3 linked regions of the Macaca mulatta genome follow. The protein of the gene in region 1 interacts with the protein of each later gene in a pairwise test. Links are inferred from orthologs where the notes say so. Each region holds a gene or a part of one and is shown in the gene's direction. Other genes may lie near its edges. The genes, in order: PEG10, FAM127A and SIAH1.

Region 1 (4,407 bases):
TATAAACTTTTCAAACTTTCTTTAAAAGTTTTATAAACTTTTCAAACTTTCTTAAAAGTTTTATAAGCTTTTCAAACTTTCTTTAAAAGCTTTATAAACTTTTTAAACTTTCTTTAAAAGTTTTAAACTTTTTAAATTAAAGTTTTTTAAACTTTTTTAAACTTTTACATATTATGTTTTAAACTTTTTATGTATTTAAATTTTCCGAATATGGGACTTGAGATTATTAATAAAATTTAAAATAATTAAATCATTCTAAATGTATTTAACTGTATTTTCAGGAAGTACACAGGCAGACACTGTGTCAGGATTTTTTATGTGTGTGATTTATTGTCATTGCACTCATAATTAGAATGCTTAAACACACACCCTACCCCCACCTCCCCACACACATCCACTCACCCGCAGGAATGCAGCCCTGTCCCACCTTAACATTACAAACCTGCATTTGGGGCTATGCTGACAAATCTTGGTTAAAAACTATGGATTGCAAACTGGTGACCTGCAAGACAAATAAGGCCTTGGATTTGACCAACACAGTGTTTTTAAAAAAGTAAACATCTTTAGGTGGGAAATGCATGCCCATGTTGCTATAGTTGCAGCCCCTCCCTCTTTTAATCCCACTCTCTTCACACAGATAATCACCTTTCTATTTTCTAATTAATAACTTTGTTAATATCAGCTAACCATTATTGAATACTCACTACATAATTTACCTGCACTATTTAATTAAGTCCTCACAATTAGTTTGAGGTATACTATTATTGGGCTTCTTTGAATGCCCCATTTTATAGCTTTTCCTAGGAGGCATCAATTAGTATTTCTTGAATGACTGCATAAATGACAAGGGAAACTGACATACACATATTGCTGCTTAGTGCCATTTCTGTCCCACAGAGAATTTTCTTTGGGGATTTAAATTATGGTCAGAAAAGTAATTTAGGCAGTCCTGTAGTTTTTGTGGTGGTGGTTGTTTGATTTGATAACCAGTGACCTTCTCTGTGGCAGTGAAACAGGGTTGTGACAGTTGGCCACAGTACCCTCCTCCCGCCCACAGGGCTGATGAATACATGCATTGTGATTTTAATACTCCCCTCTTTTTTAATTAGCTTCTATTAGTTGTAGTATTAACTATTTTTGGCCTAGCTTCTTTAGTAACAAAAGTTATTATTTTGGCTTTAATTTGCATAATTGATTTGGTATCTATGTTTGCCTTGAAGTTTCTTCCTCTGTTTCAATACAAAACTACTTGTTTAGAGGGTTTCAACATTCTTTTATAGTTTATAAAGGTAAGCATGCTGTTGATGATGTATTGTTGAATCATAATGAACAGGTGGCCTTTGAGGAAGACAAGGTCATTTGAACATCAAAAAGTAGTTTCCTTTTTGTTATCTATGGTGCTGATTGATACTTTTCTCTTGAAAGTTTGTTTTCTTTGTTCGCTAATTATTAAAGTAAGTGCATGGAGCAAGGGATAATTTAAATACTAAATCCTTTGTGTCTGCATTTTGCTGCTTTGAATCTATAAGTTGGATTTATACATTTATCTTTATTTACAGAAATAAGCGGATTTTGAAAACAAAAAAAAGAAGGAGTGGAAGAGGGGGCCAGGATCCAGGCCTCCATCCCCACAGAAGTGAAGCTACAGCTGGGAGGTCTCCTCCCACCCCAACCGTCACCCTGGGTCCCGACTGCCCACCTCCTCCCCCTCCCCCTCCCCCCAACAACAACAACAACAACAACTCCAAGCACACCGGCCATAAGAGCGCGTGTGTCCCCAACATGACCGAACGAAGAAGGGATGAGCTCTCTGAAGAGATCAACAACCTAAGAGAGAAGGTCATTAAGCAGTCCGAGGAGAACAGCAACCTGCAGAACCAGGTGCAGAAGCTCACAGAGGAGAACACCACCCTTCGAGAGCAAGTGGAACCCACCCCTGAGGATGATGATGATGACATCGAGCTCCGCGGTGCTGCAGCAGCTGCTGCCCCACCCCCTCCAATAGAGGAAGAGTGCCCAGAAGACCTTCCAGAGAAGTTCGATGGCAACCCAGACATGCTGGCTCCTTTCATGGCCCAGTGCCAGATCTTCATGGAAAAGAGCACCAGAGATTTCTCAGTTGATCGTGTCCGTGTCTGTTTCGTGACAAGCATGATGACCGGCCGTGCTGCCCGCTGGGCCTCAGCAAAGCTGGAGCGCTCCCACTACCTGATGCACAACTACCCAGCTTTCATGATGGAAATGAAGCATGTCTTTGAAGACCCTCAGAGGCGAGAGGCTGCCAAACGCAAGATCAGACGCCTGCGCCAAGGCATGGGGTCTGTCATCGACTATTCCAATGCTTTCCAGATGATTGCCCAGGACCTGGATTGGAACGAGCCTGCGCTGATTGACCAGTACCACGAGGGCCTCAGCGACCACATTCAGGAGGAGCTCTCCCACCTCGAGGTCGCCAAGTCGCTGTCTGCTCTGATTGGGCAGTGCATTCACATTGAGAGAAGGCTGGCCAGGGCTGCTGCAGCTCGCAAGCCACGCTCACCACCCCGGGCGCTGGTGTTGCCTCACGTTGCAAGCCACCACCAGGTAGATCCAACCGAGCCGGTGGGAGGTGCCCGCATGCGCCTGACCCAGGAGGAAAAAGAAAGACGCAGAAAGCTGAACCTGTGCCTCTACTGTGGAACAGGAGGTCACTACGCTGACAACTGTCCTGCCAAGGCCTCGAAGTCTTCGCCGGCGGGAAACTCCCCGGCCCCGCTGTAGAGGGACCTTCAGCGACCGGGCCAGAAATAATAAGGTCCCCACAAGATGACGCCTCATCTCCACACTTGCAAGTGATGCTCCAGATTCATCTTCCGGGCAGACACACCCTGTTCGTCCGAGCCATGATCGATTCTGGTGCTTCTGGCAACTTCATTGATCACGAATACGTTGCTCAAAATGGAATTCCTCTAAGAATCAAGGACTGGCCAATACTTGTGGAAGCAATTGATGGGCGCCCCATAGCATCGGGCCCAGTTGTCCACGAAACTCACGACCTGATAGTTGACCTGGGAGATCACCGTGAAGTGCTGTCATTTGATGTGACTCAGTCTCCATTCTTCCCTGTCGTCCTAGGGGTTCGCTGGCTGAGCACACATGATCCCAACATCACATGGAGCACTCGATCTATTGTCTTTGATTCTGAATACTGCCGCTACCACTGCCGGATGTATTCTCCAATACCACCATCGCTCCCACCACCAGCACAACAACCGCCACTCTATTATCCAGTAGATGGATACAGAGTTTACCAACCAGTGAGATATTACTATGTCCAGAATGTGTACACTCCAGTAGATGAGCACGTCTACCCAGATCACCGCCTGGTTGACCCTCACATAGAAATGATACCTGGAGCACACAGTATTCCCAGCGGACATGTGTACTCACTGTCTGAACCTGAAATGGCAGCTCTTCGAGATTTTGTGGCAAGAAATGTGAAAGATGGGCTGATTACTCCAACGATCGCACCTAATGGAGCCCAAGTTCTCCAGGTGAAGAGGGGGTGGAAACTGCAAGTTTCTTACGATTGCCGAGCTCCAAACAATTTTACTATCCAGAATCAGTATCCTCGCCTATCTATTCCAAATTTAGAAGACCAAGCGCACCTGGCAACGTACACTGAATTCGTACCTCAAATACCTGGATACCAAACGTACCCCACGTATGCCGCATACCCGACCTACCCAGTAGGATTCGCCTGGTACCCAGTGGGAAGAGACGGACAAGGAAGATCACTATATGTACCTGTTATGATCACTTGGAATCCACACTGGTACCGCCAGCCTCCGGTACCACAGTACCCGCCGCCACAGCCGCCGCCTCCACCACCGCCGCCGCCGCCGCCTCCATCTTACAGTACCCTGTAAATACTTGTCGTGTCCTTCAGGATCTCTGCCCTCAAAATTTATTCCTGTTCAGCTTCTCAATCAGTGACTGTGTGCTAAGTTTTAGGCTACTGTATCTTCAGGCCACCTGAGGCACATCCTCTCTGAAACGGCTGTAGAAGGTCAGGGCCACCCTGGACTGGCACACATCCTAAAGCACCAAAAGACCTTCAACATTTTCTGAGAGCAACAGAGTATTTGCCAATAAATTAGCTCTCATTTTTCCACCTTGACTGCCAATCTAACTAAAATAATTAGTAAGTTTACTTTCCAGCCAGTCCTGGAAGTCTGGGTTTTACCTGCCAAAACCTCTGTCACCATCTAAATTATAGGCTGCCAAATTTGTTCTTTAACATTTACAGAGAAGCTGATACAAATGCAGGAAATGCTGATTTCTTTATGGAGGGGGAGACAAAGAGGAGGAGGAGGACATGACTTTTCTTGCAGTTTCGGTACCCTCTTTAAATCACTGGAGGACCGA
Region 2 (3,042 bases), on another chromosome or scaffold:
GTACGTAAATGCTTATAGCTGATTCATTTGTAATTTCCAAAACCTGTAAATGTGCCAAATACCTTCCAACAAATGAATGGATCACCAAATTTGTATATCCATGCTATGGCAGACAGATTCTAAGGTGGCCCCCAACATCCCAATATCCTGGTCATACCTTTCAGTGTAGGTGGGGACTATGGCTTGCTTCTAACCAAGAGAATGTGGCAAAGGTGATGAACTCCCATGATTATGTTAGTTTATACATGACTCCATCTTTCAAGGAGAAACATTCTCCCTTTGTTCCATGAAGAAACAAGCTGCAGTGTAGTGAACTGCCTAGAGACAGGGCAACGTGACAGAGAACTGAGGGCAGCTTTTATAACAAATTAAGAGATTTCTTAATATTTAACTCTCCTTACATTAACTGCTTGTGGTATATTATTCTTTTTAAAAATTTATTTTCTAATTTTTGTGGGTACATGATAGGTATATGTATTTATGGGGTACGTGAAATGCTTTAATATAGGTATACAATGCATAATAATCACATAATGGTAAATGGGGCATCCATCCCCTCAAGCACTTATCCTTTGTGCTACAAACAATCCAATTACACTCTTTCAGTTATTTTTAAATGTACAATTAAATTATTTTGACTGTAGTCATCCTGTTGTGCTATCAAATACTAGGTCCTAATAATCACATCATGGAGAATGGAGTATACATCCCTCAAGCGTGGTGCATTACTCTTTGAACATGCTGCTCTGGATTATATTTGCTAATATGTGGGGCTTCTCTATTAATGTTGCAAAGTAGGGAGCCAATAATCTGGTTGAGAGACGCAAGAAGGAGCAGGAAAATGTGTTCACAGAACCTCATACTAGTGGCGTCCAGGGCCAAGGCTCCCCGAATGCATACCCAAGGGCTGATGAGAGGTGGGGACCAGTGCAGCGGGAGGACTCCTCAACTACCAGAACTAGGTAGGGCCCCTAACATACCCTTGGAGCGAGCTCCTCGCGCCCCGTACACCACCAGGTCTCCCTGGTTCCTCCCCTGCTCCCCGTCCCGCCACCTTAGGAACCCTCAGCCCAGCCTCTCCGATAGGACCCTGCCTCCTTGAGGGCTTTAGGCCCTTCTTCGCAAGTGTGTGCCCCACGACGCGCCTGCGTACTAGGGAACACCCGGCCTTGTGGGCGGAGTCCATGAGAGGGCTGGAGCCCCGCTCGTGGCCCCGCCCACCCTAGCTTGGGCAGGCCTTCGTGGACACGCATTTCCGGCGACGCCTCGGTACTGACCTCTGCAGAGCCGGGTGGAGCCCATTGACGTCCAGCGAAGCGAAGAGCAGCGATGGACGGTCGGGTGCAGCTGATAAAGGCCCTCCTGGCCTTGCCGATCCGACCTGCGACGCGTCGCTGGAGGAACCCGATTCCCTTTCCCGAGACGTTTGATGGCGATACCGACCGGCTCCCGGAGTTCATCGTGCAGACGGGCTCCTACATGTTCGTGGACGAGAACACATTCTCCAGCGACGCCCTGAAGGTGACGTTCCTCATCACCCGCCTCACGGGGCCCGCCCTGCAGTGGGTGATCCCCTACATCAAGAAGGAGAGCCCCCTCCTCAATGATTACCGGGGCTTCCTGGCCGAGATGAAGCGGGTCTTTGGATGGGAGGAGGACGAGGACTTTTAGGCCGGGAGACCCTCGAGCCTGGGGGCGGGTGCTCTGGGGAGGGCCCGCTGTGTTACTGGCCGCCGCCAGGGTCGCCACAGGCGCCCTCCCTCCGCACCTCCCTCCCCCTCGAGCCGCCGCGATGTCCCCTGCGCTCCTGTCCCCTCCCGCGTAGTGCTTGCCTTTGTTCCAGGAATAGCGCTCCAGGCTCCTGCTGCCGCCCCTGGGCCTCACTCTGGAGCGAGCCGCCGCCCTCTCCTTCCAGCCAGCCAGCCCCTCCCATGCACATTTGGACGCTGTCCTGCGCTCCAGCTGCAAGCTGGGCTCCTGTTACACACTGGACAGACCACCCACTGCCGCCGCTGCCAAGCCCCCTCCTCCCCACCAGACTGCCAGACGACTACATCATTCTGCCCACAGACCTGCGCTGCCACTGCCATCGCCATCCATCGCATCCCACTGACAGACTGCTGCTCCTAGTGATCTGGACTCACCTCGGAGGTATCTGGGCTGGCCACAGTCCTTGGACAGTGATCCAGACAGCTGGCCCCCCAAGGGATCTGTCACCTTCAGCGAGACCTATTTCCTCCCCACCCCCAGAAACCTCTTGTGTTCCAGCCTAGACCCAGGTGTGCCTGGCAGCCAAATCGAGTCTCTCATTTTCTCTTGTGGACCAGTTAGTTTTGCCTATAACCCAGTTTTCTGAGTTTGCAACTGTCTCTCTGATGTGTGCCTTTTGTTCAACACAGTAACCCCTGCATTCTGCTCTGCTCTAATACACTACCTGGAGAAAGTCTTTTCCTTATTTTCAATAAATGTCAGACATTATTGAAAAGAAATGGTCTCAGTCAATATGGCACTTTTCCCTCCCTGGTTCTGTAAATGGGGTCCATATCTTGTTCAAAAACTATATGTCCTGCCACGCTATGGTTGATGTTGACACAGAGTCCTGTGGTGTCCTGCAAATGGAGATCCCACCGGTGACTAATCCCAGATGATTAATGTTGTAAACAAGTCAAGTTTTGTGCCCCTTAGGAAATGAACCTTAATCTGACTGTGGCCAAGATAAGATAAGGAATAGTCAGATAGGGTGCTTTTTCTTCCCTCTTTTCCAAAAAACTGTCTGAAAGCATATACCCCAGATGGTTACAAGCCATGCATCTCACACATTTGTTGGTGAACACTTCTTACAGTTTTATTTAATGCATTATCAGGGAACCAGCAAAATGGCTTAGATACTTCAGAAAAAGCATTTACATTTATATTGCTTTAATTGGGTAAGTGGTGGAGAAAGGAATGCAGAACTGTAGTTAATTTAGGTACAAACTTGTTTAATGAATGACCTGAAACACAATACAATTACCACCTTCCCTAATGGGCAGAAAAAAAAAA
Region 3 (4,115 bases), on another chromosome or scaffold:
CAATTATATTTCTTTTCCTAATGTTGTTTTGTGTAGCCTGTATTGTAAAATGAGGTTGAGGTGATTGGACACACTGTTAATAGAGTGAGGAAGTGGGTAGAGTTAAAATTTCTTGCTGAAAGTGGGTAATCTGCAGTTCCTTGCATTGGGTTCACTCCTCACTGCCAGCTCTTGCTGCATTTGGAGGCTGCCCTAAGCATGATGTAATGACAGGTTAAACCTCTGCACGCACTAGCTGATGCAATGCAAATCTGAGGCCCAGGACTTTATTGGGGCAAGGGTAATGCTTGTTTAAAAACAAAACAAGCTACTCTGTGTTTAATGAGGCCATTTAAGATGGCTTTCCCAGAGTGGGAAGAGTATAATCTCTTAGGAGGTTTAAGTAGGAGTTTAATGTGGCAGAAGTGTGCTTACAACTTTTCCTGCGAAGTCTTTTCACAGCGGGGAAGGAGAGTTTAAAATATAGTGCCCATAGGAGTAGAAATGAAGTGAGCTAGAATTGAGTAAATATGGTAGTTGATGCCCGGTAAATAGCTGTTGAATGAATTAAGGAGAATGTTTTCACTCTAAAAATTAAGTTTGCACGATGAACCGGGAATGTAGCGCCGGTGTGGGCACGCATTTCCCAGATACGCCAGATACGCTGTAGCTCTTAGATCGAACCGTGAGAAACTGCCGATATTCGACTGTTGTGACCTACCGAAAACAGCATGGTTCTACCTAATTTTAAACTGGTGGAAATGCTGAGGAAGGCTCGATGTCGCTGGGGTGGGATGGGGTCAACAGCGGGGTGGCGGGGCCCCGCCCTGGGCTGCGGGGCGGGGCTTGCGGGCACAGCCCCACCCCTGCGCGAGCAAGACGGGCACCGCCCTGCGCGCTGCGCGCCCTGAGCTGGCCCTGGCGCCCCGGGTTGGAGTGGGCGTTCCCAACGCAGGCCCAGCCCCGGCCGAGGCTCCAAATGGCTCTCCAGCAGGCAGGCTTCTGCAGTAGCCCCTGAGCTGGCTCAGGGAGCGCACTTCCTTCGCAGTGAGCGCGTCGCCCCCTGCATCCCCGGCCTCCACCGGAGCTGGGGAGCTGGGCAGTAGCCTACGGAGTGAATCTGGAGAAGACAAACTTGGGAGACAGACGAAAGCTTAGGGCACACTGGAGGACAGCGCAGCTGTGGCTCCCATTTTTGGAGATGCAGCCGAATTTGAGCTCACAGGGAGGTGTGGTTGCCTCCTGGGGATGGGAAGGCTTCCTTTCTCCACCTCTGTAACTCGTGCTTCTGAGAAGTAAATGGATATTTGGATCCTGACCTCAGACGCGAATTTGGGTCTTCTGTGCTTAGGAGCAGAAAGTGCCCAGGAGGGGCCTGTTCCTTTACTTCTTGGGGGAAACGCAATGCGCGGCCTGACTTCTCATGACGGGAAAGGCTACTCCACCTTCTCTGTACTCCTGGAGGGGAGTCTTGTTCACATGTTTACCAGCGGCCAGGACAAGGAAGAGAAAAGGTATTGACATTAAGAGGATAGGTTGCTGAGGCTATGAAGCTTGAACGCTATTAGTCAGTGGAACCTGTCTGGCTTAGGGAATGGCTGCAGCAGAATCCAGCCGTTTCCGAGGTTCTCAGTCATGTTTCATTTGGGTTGCTGTGCTTTTTTATGTTTAAATCAAACTTCAGGTTACGTCATGACTTCTGCAGGGCTGTCCTTAGTTCCTACTGCAGGGCGGCTGTGTGGTTGGGATTCCTTTTCTGTTTCAAGATGGAGCTGGGTTCCACCCTTGGAGCTTTGAGAGGCTTTAGCAGTTGCTGTCCTGTAATACCTCCATTCACAAGAAATACCGTTCACATTTCAGTTCTTTTTCACACTTTGAATAGGAGTTAAAATGTGCTTTCTATAGTGTTTGGAAAATGGTAAAGATGTATTGTGAGCCTGAACTGTTGATGATAAATGTATAACTATTGCTAGGTCAAGAAATTGTGAACAACAGTGTTTTTCTCGGTCTCTAGCTATGTTGTGTTAAATATAAACTGAGTTTACTGCCCTTGGATGTGATTCCTTGGTTTGGTTTAGTAATCTGAAAGGCATTGGTTGACTAGACTGTTTTGTGCCCAAGGAACCACTTTGTAATTGTTATGCTGCTTACTGAAGTAAACTGGACCATGCAGTAGGCATACAGCATACAGCCAGGGTGTTTTGGCAATACTGAGCCCACTGTTTTACAAGTGACATAAAATGGATGTCATATGTACAAAGAATCTACTCAGAGGGAAACTGGATTACAGGAGAGCTCCTTTATAGTCCTTTGTCAGGGGACAGAACACCTGGGTCACACTGGGCTTCAGATGAGAGTTGATTCATGTTCTGAGTCCGTATGATGAGACACATTATGATGGAATTCTGTCACTTTTGTTGCCTCTTGAACTTTAAAATATCCTTTTAGTGATGTGGAATTAATCTTTATTTTTCCTTCACCCTAAGCCCTCATTTAAGCTATCAGTTGGTAACCACTTGGGTAATCTAGAAACCAAGTTGCATTTACTTGGTCACATTGGTAACCAACATTGTTTCTTAAAAGTTCCCTGCAACAGAATAATGACTATAATTGAATTAAAACATTAATTTTGAAGCTTTAATTTTGTAATATGGCTTAGTGGCCGGGCGCAGTGGCCAATGCCTGTAATCCCAGCACTTTGGGACGCCGAGGCCGGGGAATCACGAGGTCAGGAGTTTGAGACCAGCCATGGTGAAACCCCGTCTCTACTAAAAATACAAAAATTAGTCGGGCATGGTGGTAGGCACTTGTAATCCCAGCTGCTTTTGAGGCTGAGGCAGGAGAATTGCTTGAACCTGGGAGGCAGAGGTTGCAGTGAGCAGGCACCATTGTACTCCGGCCTGGGCAACAAGAGCAAAACTCCATCTCAAAAAAAAAAAAAAAAAAAAAAGAATATGGCTTAGTAGAGTTACTAGGAGTGCACTCTTAGGACATCGACTGATCTTTTTTTCCACCCCCAAGACAAATAGTGGCCTGCAATATCCCAGCCCAGGTAGCTTCCTGGGAAAAGTTGCTTGTTTTATGTTTGACTCAGCTTGACTAGTTACATTGTCGATTATTTCTTCCAGATGACATTTACTTGTTAAATAACGTTGATTACTCTGCTGATGAATGTTTCAGCAACGCTGGAGAACCCTAGGCTGCAAGGGGTTCTTCACCTGTTGACTTCATCCCCCACCCCCAGTATGGTATATTATCTCTGCCGTGCTATCATCTTTATTCTTTCCTTTTTCACTGTCTCTTCCTGACTCTCCTCCTTTGTTCATTATGTCTGATACATATTGTGGATTGAAAGTGGAACAGAAAGATGTACTTTCTCTACCAGACTAAAAAGTTTTGAGATGGCCCTCCATTTCTCCTATGTCTCCCTTCACCTTTGTTGTGTGTTTATTTTTATATTTTTGCTACCTTCACTAGCGAGTACATCCCCTCACTCTTGAGGTGAGCACTAATCAGTAAGAAATAAGATTAATACCTGGCTGATGATAATTTGGGGGGAAGACTTAATTAGGTAAAGATGGATAATGGGATGGCAGCAGACCTTTCCCCTTGTGACCCCTCCCCTCATTCCCAAAGTACACCTCTAGAGTAGATAATGGCTTACCATTAAGAAGAGTTAATGGAAGGTTCTCTGATTCTTTGGCATTGGAACTACACTTGTCCCGCGGTATCCTCGGAAGATTAGTTCTAGGACCCCCTTCCCCATACCAAAACCTGAGGATGCTCAAGTCCCTGATAGAAAATGGTGTCGTATATGTATGTGCATATTCTCCTGTATAATTTAAATTATCTCTGGATTACTTAATACAATGTAAATAATACGTAAATAGTTGTTATAGACTGTATTTTAAAAATTTTGTATTATTTGTAAATTTTTCTGAATATTTTCAATCCATGGCTGTGGTGAAGTCCTTGGATGCAGACCGTGTGAATACAGAGTGCCGATTTTATCCAGGACTTCACCTGTAACTCCCTATACCTATCAATAGCTGACTCCAAATTAGAAAGAAATAAGAGTAAGGGAGTCTCAGGGAGAGAGTCCTAGCAAAACGGATTCGATTAAACTTCAGTTCCTT

The links.
Region 2: the proteins of PEG10 (region 1) and FAM127A interact in binary tests that used the Homo sapiens proteins (3 or more experiments, as listed by UniProt). The two-hybrid records come from large-scale screens. The link is inferred for Macaca mulatta from reciprocal best matches to the Homo sapiens genes PEG10 and RTL8C.
Region 3: the proteins of PEG10 (region 1) and SIAH1 interact in binary tests that used the Homo sapiens proteins (3 or more experiments, as listed by UniProt). The link is inferred for Macaca mulatta from reciprocal best matches to the Homo sapiens genes PEG10 and SIAH1.

The regions. Positions count from the first base shown.
Region 1 is NC_133408.1:124,715,972-124,720,378, reverse strand, and holds PEG10 (retrotransposon-derived protein PEG10), read left to right. Parts: upstream 1-1,559; 5' UTR 1,560-1,680; coding exon 1,681-2,760; coding exon of another isoform or gene 2,761-3,908; 3' UTR 3,909-4,339; downstream 4,340-4,407.
Region 2 is NC_133426.1:141,544,658-141,547,699, forward strand, and holds FAM127A (protein FAM127A), read left to right. Parts: upstream 1-1,243; 5' UTR 1,244-1,329; coding exon 1,330-1,671; 3' UTR 1,672-2,491; downstream 2,492-3,042.
Region 3 is NC_133425.1:43,776,276-43,780,390, reverse strand, and holds the start of SIAH1 (E3 ubiquitin-protein ligase SIAH1), read left to right. Parts: upstream 1-1,217; 5' UTR 1,218-1,402; coding exon 1,403-1,493; intron 1,494-4,115. UniProt on the Homo sapiens protein: E3 ubiquitin-protein ligase that mediates ubiquitination and subsequent proteasomal degradation of target proteins.